Drosophila melanogaster: one gene and its partner. The protein of the gene in region 1 interacts with the protein of each later gene in a pairwise test. Each region holds a gene or a part of one and is shown in the gene's direction. Other genes may lie near its edges. The genes, in order: tara and CG5762.

What was found.
Region 2: the proteins of tara (region 1) and CG5762 interact in a two-hybrid assay, tested with the Drosophila melanogaster proteins (one large-scale study listed by BioGRID).

What each region holds. Positions count from the first base shown.
Region 1 is NT_033777.3:16,224,023-16,228,862, forward strand, and holds the start of tara (taranis), read left to right. Parts: upstream 1-1,628; 5' UTR 1,629-2,393; coding exon 2,394-2,417; intron 2,418-4,840.
Region 2 is NT_033777.3:24,359,893-24,363,280, reverse strand, and holds CG5762 (uncharacterized protein), read left to right. Parts: upstream 1-1,597; 5' UTR 1,598-1,729; coding exon 1,730-2,143; intron 2,144-2,201; coding exon 2,202-2,390; 3' UTR 2,391-2,576; downstream 2,577-3,388. Other genes in the region: CG33340 (uncharacterized protein), read right to left, coding at 1-7; CG33339 (uncharacterized protein), read right to left, coding at 215-344, 407-523, 572-754, 810-881, 940-984, 1,040-1,434; CG18528 (uncharacterized protein), read left to right, coding at 3,215-3,388.

The sequences.
Region 1 (4,840 bases):
TAGAAATTATATTTGTTTTCAGTGAAAATGGCATTTTCAGCGATTGGCGCTCGAAGGCGAACAATGAATGCCACAGCCGCCAGAGTGGCCAGCATCGTTAAAGCTTTAACCGACTCCCCTTTCTGCTAGCCTCCCATTACCACGGCGCTGTCCCCTCTTTCAAATCCCCACAAAAAAAAACCCCTTTTGCCAATTTCGAGGCTGCGCTGCGTCGCACAAATTTCAATGCGCTCTTGCCTCGAAACGGTGGAAAATGCGCGTCCGTTGTTAGTCGGAAAACGTCGTCATCCGTCGACGGTTGTTTTGGCTGCCTTTGGACCAGGAGTTTTCCGCCAGCAGAGGCAGCGACAGAAGCAGAGGCAGCGACAAAAGCAGCGACCACGACAGAACTAGAAATCCGGCATTACACTCAACAAAAACTTTTGCTAAACCAATTATTCATGAACTAAAAAAAAGCGTTTGCATAATGTCCTAAATTTATGAACAAGTTTCATATAACTTAGAATATTTCTACCTGATCAATTTTTATCAGAATTTTTAACCATTTTATTATCCATTCTTGTTTAAGTGCGGCTTTAGCTTTTGCCTTGGCAGCAGAAACTTCGGCTCTTCGTTCGGCCTGGCTCTCATAAATGACATAGAGAGAGAGAGAGAGGAAAAGAGGGAGGTGGATGACGGTTGGTAACTGTGGGAGAGCGTGGGCCAAACAAAGAGCCACCCAACTCTCTCCTAAGCACTGGGTGTGCGAGTGTGTGTGTGCAGCGAAGCAAGCAAAGCAATCAGCAGTCAGCGGGGTCGGAGGGTGGGGAATTGCTCTCGTAAGTGTGACTGTGTGTGGGGAAAGAGAGCCTAGCCACCCAAATCGCCCACTTTTATCAGTCAGCAAAAGGTCGTTCGGCACTGTGGTCGCTTCGCTCCGCAGAGCACCTGACTCACTGTCAACTGATAAAAGTCGCCGATATCAGGTGCGACGTTATGCCACCAGCCTTTGCAATCAGAAAAGATGATATGAGCACTTAGGATCGTCTTTGAACTGATTCGAAATAAATTTATTTGATCATCATTTAAAACTACATATATAAGAGATATTAGATAATTCTATGATTTCTTTTAAGGACTTAGTAATTTAGGATCGTTTGTACAAACTTTGCAATTTTATTTACCAAACCCACACGTATACCGATCCTCCGAAAAATGTATTTCTGTTCCGCCTCTTACCAAAGTCATTAATAAGATGATTTTCGCTATATCAATCATACACGCCCTGTTACCCTTGCAGAAACAAAAATATGGAAATATTTGTAGCATTCAGTTTTCATCTTACAAAATCGTCAATAATCTGTTGGAGATCTTTATTTATTTACAAAGCCAAAAAGAGGAAGTTTAGTTAGGCGCTTACGTTGCGTATAAGTTAAAGGAATGGTTGTAAATTCTTCACAAGCTGCAGAAGTTCGATTTCCAGCACAAAAATATCGATCCCCCATTATGAACAAAGATCCAATATTATCGATACATCTGTGTACTTGGCTTCGTGCAGAAACCGTTAGGCGCCAATCACAATTATCGACTTTATGAAAACGAGCAAAGCGGCCAAAGCAAAGCAAAACCCATACGAGCTGAGCTGAAGCAATCCGAATTGAACCGAGCCAAGGCGAGTTGGCTTTGTTTGTTGGTCGGGCCCACTAAAATAGTTCAGGAAATGATGAAAACGTGGAGCTGGGGCGAAGCAGAGAGGGCGGAAGGCATGGTACATTGAAAGCATTGTGGGTCTGAGTTTTGGTATTGGGATTGGAGCCATGGCTTTCGCCCGATTGTGTCCCAGCCTGGTGGCTTTCCACAGAGCAACTGAAAATACGAAAATTCGAGGCGGAAAAGCTGGCAACAACAACGCGCGCATGTGGCAGAGTTGCCAAAGCGCAGAGAGTTTTCCAGGCGCGGCGACGGCAACCCTGGCCACCCGGCTGTCGAGTGTGTTGGCCAGGCCGAAAGCATTCAGTACGAACTCTGCACTTCGCACAACAAGACGCCAAGCGACCAGCGACGACGACGCCAAAGGCGCTCGGCCAAAGCCACAGAGCCCGAGCAAAAACTACGTAAATTTTCCACAGCGATTTTCCCCATTTTTCCCAGTTGAACAACAGCGCCAAAAACAAAAACATCGGACCAGCGGTCTGCATGTGTGTTTGTGCCAGAGCGTGTGTGTTTTGTGTGTGTTATATAGTGAATCGTTCTTGGCCCGACGATCGACTTCCCCATCACCCTCAAACCCGCAAACATGTGGAGCTGGGGCTAAGGAACACCACGGAACCCAAAACAACCAGCGACTCAGAAAAAGGCGCCAAACTTAAATTATTGCCAGCCGAGATTACCTCCTCAAGACTTCGCAGGAAACCATGAAAATGTGGACGGAATCCAATGTGAGTAGATCGTGATAAGGCCTTACTATGGCTCACTCTATAAGTACCGACCTTGATCTTGTCCAATGATATTGGCCATCGATTGGTTATTGTCATCGTGTTTGTTCTAGCTCTAGATGGACTACACTTGAATCTAAATTGAAATGATCAAATTTTGATCAGAAAATACTATTTCAATTTTGGTCCAGCATATAATGTGATATCTGAGCTGAACTTACGACATATAATATCTAATAATGGTATTTTTAAAATGTAAAGTGATCGTTCGTAATTTAAAGCTATGCAATCTAATTATAAGAAAATATACATTTCCTAAAAATATTAGAAATATACCAATGTTTTTAGATTTGATTATCAATCATATGGTTGTATGGTGTCACCTTATTATTAACATTCAGTTTCCCTACATTTATTGGCTTCATTCTTATCACATATGTATGGTTCATTGCGGTGTATGATATGATTGCATTTGAGTACACATGTGAGGTGCATTCGCTATCTTTGTTTTGATTCTTGAGTTTCTTCTATCGGCATTTACGCTTTATGCGCTTGTTTCCTTTGCCGTTTACCGGCGAATCCAATTGAAAAGTCATTTGGCTACGGCCGGGAAATGTTCAATGGATTGGCGTGGGGCGCCACGAGGGGTGAGCATCGGGGGGTCAAGGATGGGTGCCTCCAGCGGAGCAGCACGCACATCCATGTGGGGCATTTGTAGTAGGCACGCACAGCACGCGTCGTCAGCTAGCCATTTGCTCGATTCCCTCGAATCCCCCGATTCTCGATGCCCGATTCCGATTCAGATACGATTTCCATTCCCAAGTTGGGGTCTTTCCCGACAAGCCCCCATCGCAATCGAAGCCAAGTAAACAAAAGCCAACAACATCAAGGTTTTTTCTCCCTCTTTGTTTTCTTTCTTTATTTCTACCGCTTGCAGCAATTAAATGAAAGTTTTTGTGATGATGGATGATGAAAGGGGGGCGGTGGGTGGTGCGGACGTGATGGTGATTGTGGTGGTAGAGGCGTAGAAGCCGGCGAGCAAAACAAAAACGGCAAAAATGTCATACACGTCGAGGGGGTGGCAATCGCATGGGGCGGTGCGGTTGGTTCGGGGCATGTAAAGTGCATTGGCATTTAAGATTCTTTGCAGGCTTCACTTCCAAGTTCCGCAAACAAATAAAAACCGAAGAGGAAATACATTTTTGAAATAAACTTGACCCACAATTGGACAAAGTGTTCGATGCAAGATATGTAGATATGCCGGCTTTGAGAAAAATGTTTGCTACCAGGAATTTGTCAGGTAGCAATTTATTTAAAAATGTTAAGACAAAATAATATTCCCAAACTTTTTAGTTAATAGTTTGTACTTGTGATCAAGCTTGCATATGTATGTACATACGTGCACATTCTTTAATGGGTTTTTGGTAATGTTACAAATGTGTAATGTCAATTTTTTATTTGAGGTGTTTAGGTAAAAGAACGGGTAAATGAGGTATATTTAGCCAAGCCTTGGAAAAGTCTGTTGTTAAAAAGTCAACAAATTCGACCGCTCCACATAAATGATTAACAAGGGCAAAGGTCGTAAAACGGAAAATCAACAATAAATACACGTACCAGTCCCCTCTTACCAATTTACGCACAAACACACACACATACACACCGCAATGGAATCCACTTGTCCTTGACACAGTGACGTACCAAAGTCCGAACGTTGTATAATAATAGCATCATGACTTGCGCTTGTTCCGCTCCTTTCTGGGGGATGGCAGTGGGCGTGGCACCCCGGCAACTCATTTTCATTATCGGTCCCATGCAAATGCCCGTCGCATACCTTAGGTCAGTTTCCGTATCATAAAAAAGCCCGGATACGAAACACATTCACGGGGAGAGGGGCAGCAGCCGGCGGCGGACGAACCCTTTTTTCCGGGCTATAAATACAGGCAAAAATCTCTAACTCGAACCGCAAACATGTGGTGAATGAACAATTGCCGCCATTGGGAATTCGAGTTCTACATTTTATTTTGCGCATTTAAAGAACGGTTTTTGTATTCGTATTTCATTAAAAATATGTTACTTCAAAATTAAAAATATTTAAAACTGATTATATGAGTGGCATAAAATCTTAAAAACTTGTAAACTTTTATGCACTGTGCATAAAATTCTGTTATTAATATGTTTTAATGCAATTTCAACATTATCGTTAACATCATCGTTTGCACATATGTAGATGTTTTAAAACCACATTCGCATTATTAACGCGGAGTAATGAACTTCTGTATGTTGAGTGGTATTTTTGCACAATTGATGCGGACAATTCCAATCTAGTGATGTTTGACTGTATAACGGTTTTATGCGTATTTACCATTACGCTTTCAATGGGCAATAATAATGGACAGTGTGCTGCCTCTAGTCTTCTTCTTCCCGCT
Region 2 (3,388 bases), 8.1 Mb from region 1:
GTGCCATTTTTGAGCTCTGGAATTTTGAATTTTTAACCGAAATATATTTTCCAAAAGGTTTGGGCCGGAAATTTAGATGGAATTTTGCGAACACGAAACTGGGAGGCTAGAGACCTATCCAGCTCGAGAACGGAATGAGAACTGATGACTCTGGGTTATCCGAAATCACAGTACAACGACTTGGGGCGGAAGTTCGATTCTCGGCTCACTATGTTTACAATTTTGCACCACTTTGGGTAAGGAAGTCTAGAACATTGTAGGGACAACTTGGGGCGTAGAATCGGGCACAGTCCTGGTTATCCATGCGATGCCTGTACTTATCATCGGCCACCTCTTCGGGAACTCTGAAGTATAGTTTATTATGGTTTTAATGGCATTATATATGACAATGAATTATTTTACTTACGTCAGCACAATTCGCATTAGATCCTCCATGAGGAATCCCTGATCTTGACCTGCATTTAACTTGGCCCTTAGTTCACACATGGCTCTCTTGATACAAGACCTTAGGTCCAACTGAAAACTATTAATAGGTTCTTTTAAATTATTCTGTGGATCACTTAAGACTTACACTTTTCCCATGGCCTCGAGTTGATCGAAAATCTCTCTGCGTTCTCTGTATCCACGATGTAACTTCCAACTAGGCACTTGATCCCAGGATTCATAAACTTCTTCCTCCGGTGGATATGAGTTTCTCTGATTTGCAGACAAGCTCCATGGGCTATGATAGAATGAGGCCCTATTCAATGAGGGTCTGAAATATTTTAAAGCCACTTTAGGGTATTTCAAAATGATTAATCTTATATTACCTCGATGTATAAAACTCTTTCCTGCGATTAGTGGGCGAGGATGAATGCCATGAAGCTTGGGGAAATGAATCCCTAGTAGGACATTGAACTTGTAATTATTACCTCTTGAAAGTAATTCATAATAATTTACCTCGATGTTGCTTGGTAGAATGGAACTCTATGATTGTTAGCAGGACTAAAACTTAAAATTTCGAATTTATTTCTTTAACGGTTAAATATATATACTTTACCTTTCGTAATGAGCATTTCTATATGGATCCGCATAGTATGGATAATAGCTTTCAGGTCTTTTGCTATATGACCAATCATACCGGCGTTTTGGCGTTGACATTGGCTTTGGCTTCATCTTCTTTAGGATCTTGGGCTGCCAACCCTCAATGGTGTCGGGAACCGGAACGTACATATCAAACTCCAAGCTGTACTGAAGGCCACTTGGTCGTCCGCCCAAAATTAGTTTGGTTAGGGCGGCGGTCAGGAGAAGGGATGCCTTGTCGGGAAAAACCAAAGCACGCACCCGTCGCGATAGAATGCGATTCTCCAAAGAGGAGCCCACCAGATGGGTTTGATTCCCAATAGCCGCCCTAATGGCTCCGATCAACAGAAGTACCAAAATCGTAGACCTCATGCCGCCACTCTGAGAACTCAACTGATCTGTGTGACAGATACTAGTCGTGGAAAATTAACGCCAGGTGAACAGTGCTAATTAAGAAAGGTGAGCCGACTTACAGCATCAGGTGTGCCTTGATTCGTACGCACCTTACATGTCACCTCGATTTGTTGGGAGCGGATTCAGTTCGTTACACGCCGCCTCTTTGGAAGCAGGCTACATTTTGGCATTCCAATACTAAAACTTACACAATTCCCTAATTCTTTTAATAAAATTTCTAAAACTGTAAAAAAAAAAAAAATATCTTCCGAGAATGGTTAACATCCACGGTGGCACTCGGATGATGGTGAACCGTTGCATCGAGCTCCTCCGTGCGCGGATCGAATGCGCCTCAACGCGTCACATTGCCAGGCGTTCCCAGCGGCCCAGAGTGGGCAGCCAATACCTGCCAGACGATCAGATACTCAGGGAGCGGGAGAAAGCGGATGTGTACAAGAAGAACAAGCGACGCTCCATGTGGGAGCAGGACGAGGGCCACGGACGCATCTCGGTCGGGGACGATCAGGAACGCTTCGATAACGAGCAGTACCATCCGCGCGAACTGGAGAAGCGCAAGTACGAGTGCACCTGGGTTAATTTCCCGGACAGTGTGGCGACCAAACGAAATCGTAGACGGGACTTTCTGGAGTCGATGGAAACTGAGGCTCCTCGACGCCGCCGAGCCCAGGTGCCTATTTTTTGGAATATTTCAAACAAAAATCAATTTGAAATAATCTTTTTTGCAGGAAGAAAGACCGAGTACGGCAAAGCCATGTGACGACGAGGCCCGTGCCTTTATCAACCAATGGGACACCAATGCGGCGATGATCCAACGCAACAAATTTGCTCGTGCCACCGATAGCTGTCCACCACCCATTGTATCTCTCCGGTTGTCAAACGCCTACAGCACCCGAAAACGTCAGTTCTTATTCTAAACCGTTTATATTTGACAGTTGTATTCGCATCAGAAATTCTAGCAATCGCTCATTCTTGTAGCCTGATCAAATTGATAGTGTCGAAGGCATCAGATTTTAAAGCGTCCAAATCCGAAAATGTAACTGTAAAAATGTAACACATCTGCACTAGATGTGATATTTGTTACTAATAAAATATTTAAGTGTATTTGTCTTCGTCAAAAGCGGAGAGGGAATTTGAGAAGTTCATCACAGCTTGGCTAAAATTGGTCTCAGAGACTTAATAAGAACTATTTCTTACAGCTTTTTACCAATGCTTATTATTTTTATCAACTTTTGGTGAAATAAAAAAAAAAATTTTTTTTTTTCTATTTTCACATTTTTTATAAGGGGTAACAACGTCTATTTTTTTCAAAAAACGTCAAAAAAATAAAATTACCAAATTTGAACTCCAACCAATTAAGGGCTTAATTACAAGTTCATCGAGATATGTCATTCGATATTTTCCAACGCTTTTGACAAAAAATCTGATAATTATTTGACAAAAAATTACAAAAACTACTTCTGTCTAATTGAATAAAAGTGAATTCTTTCTATCCAAATAACAAAGAAATAAATAAAAAACGTTCCCATGTTTCAAATCCCATATTTCGGTCAAAATGGTTTGTGTCGGGACTGGAGATTTACCCAAGCTTACCACCGCTCCATAATTGTTTACGCACAATTCTTTAGTATATATCTCCGAGTGGAATGATATATTTTTGTAACGGCCATTCCGCGGTCACACTTAATATCACGTTCAATTGTTTATTATTCGGCGGTTGGGATTTAATTGTTTTTCGGCGATGGCGCTTCTCAGAAACGCGTCCCAGAGCTTCTTGGGCAGTTTCCGGCGCTTTGCCAGCAGCGGATGCACCATCTACAGCCTCAGTTCCGGTCATGTCAAGTGCGGTGTGTCCGTGATCCGTGTCTCCGGGCCGCAAACAAAGAAGGCCCTCCGAGCAATTGTTGCAAACAAA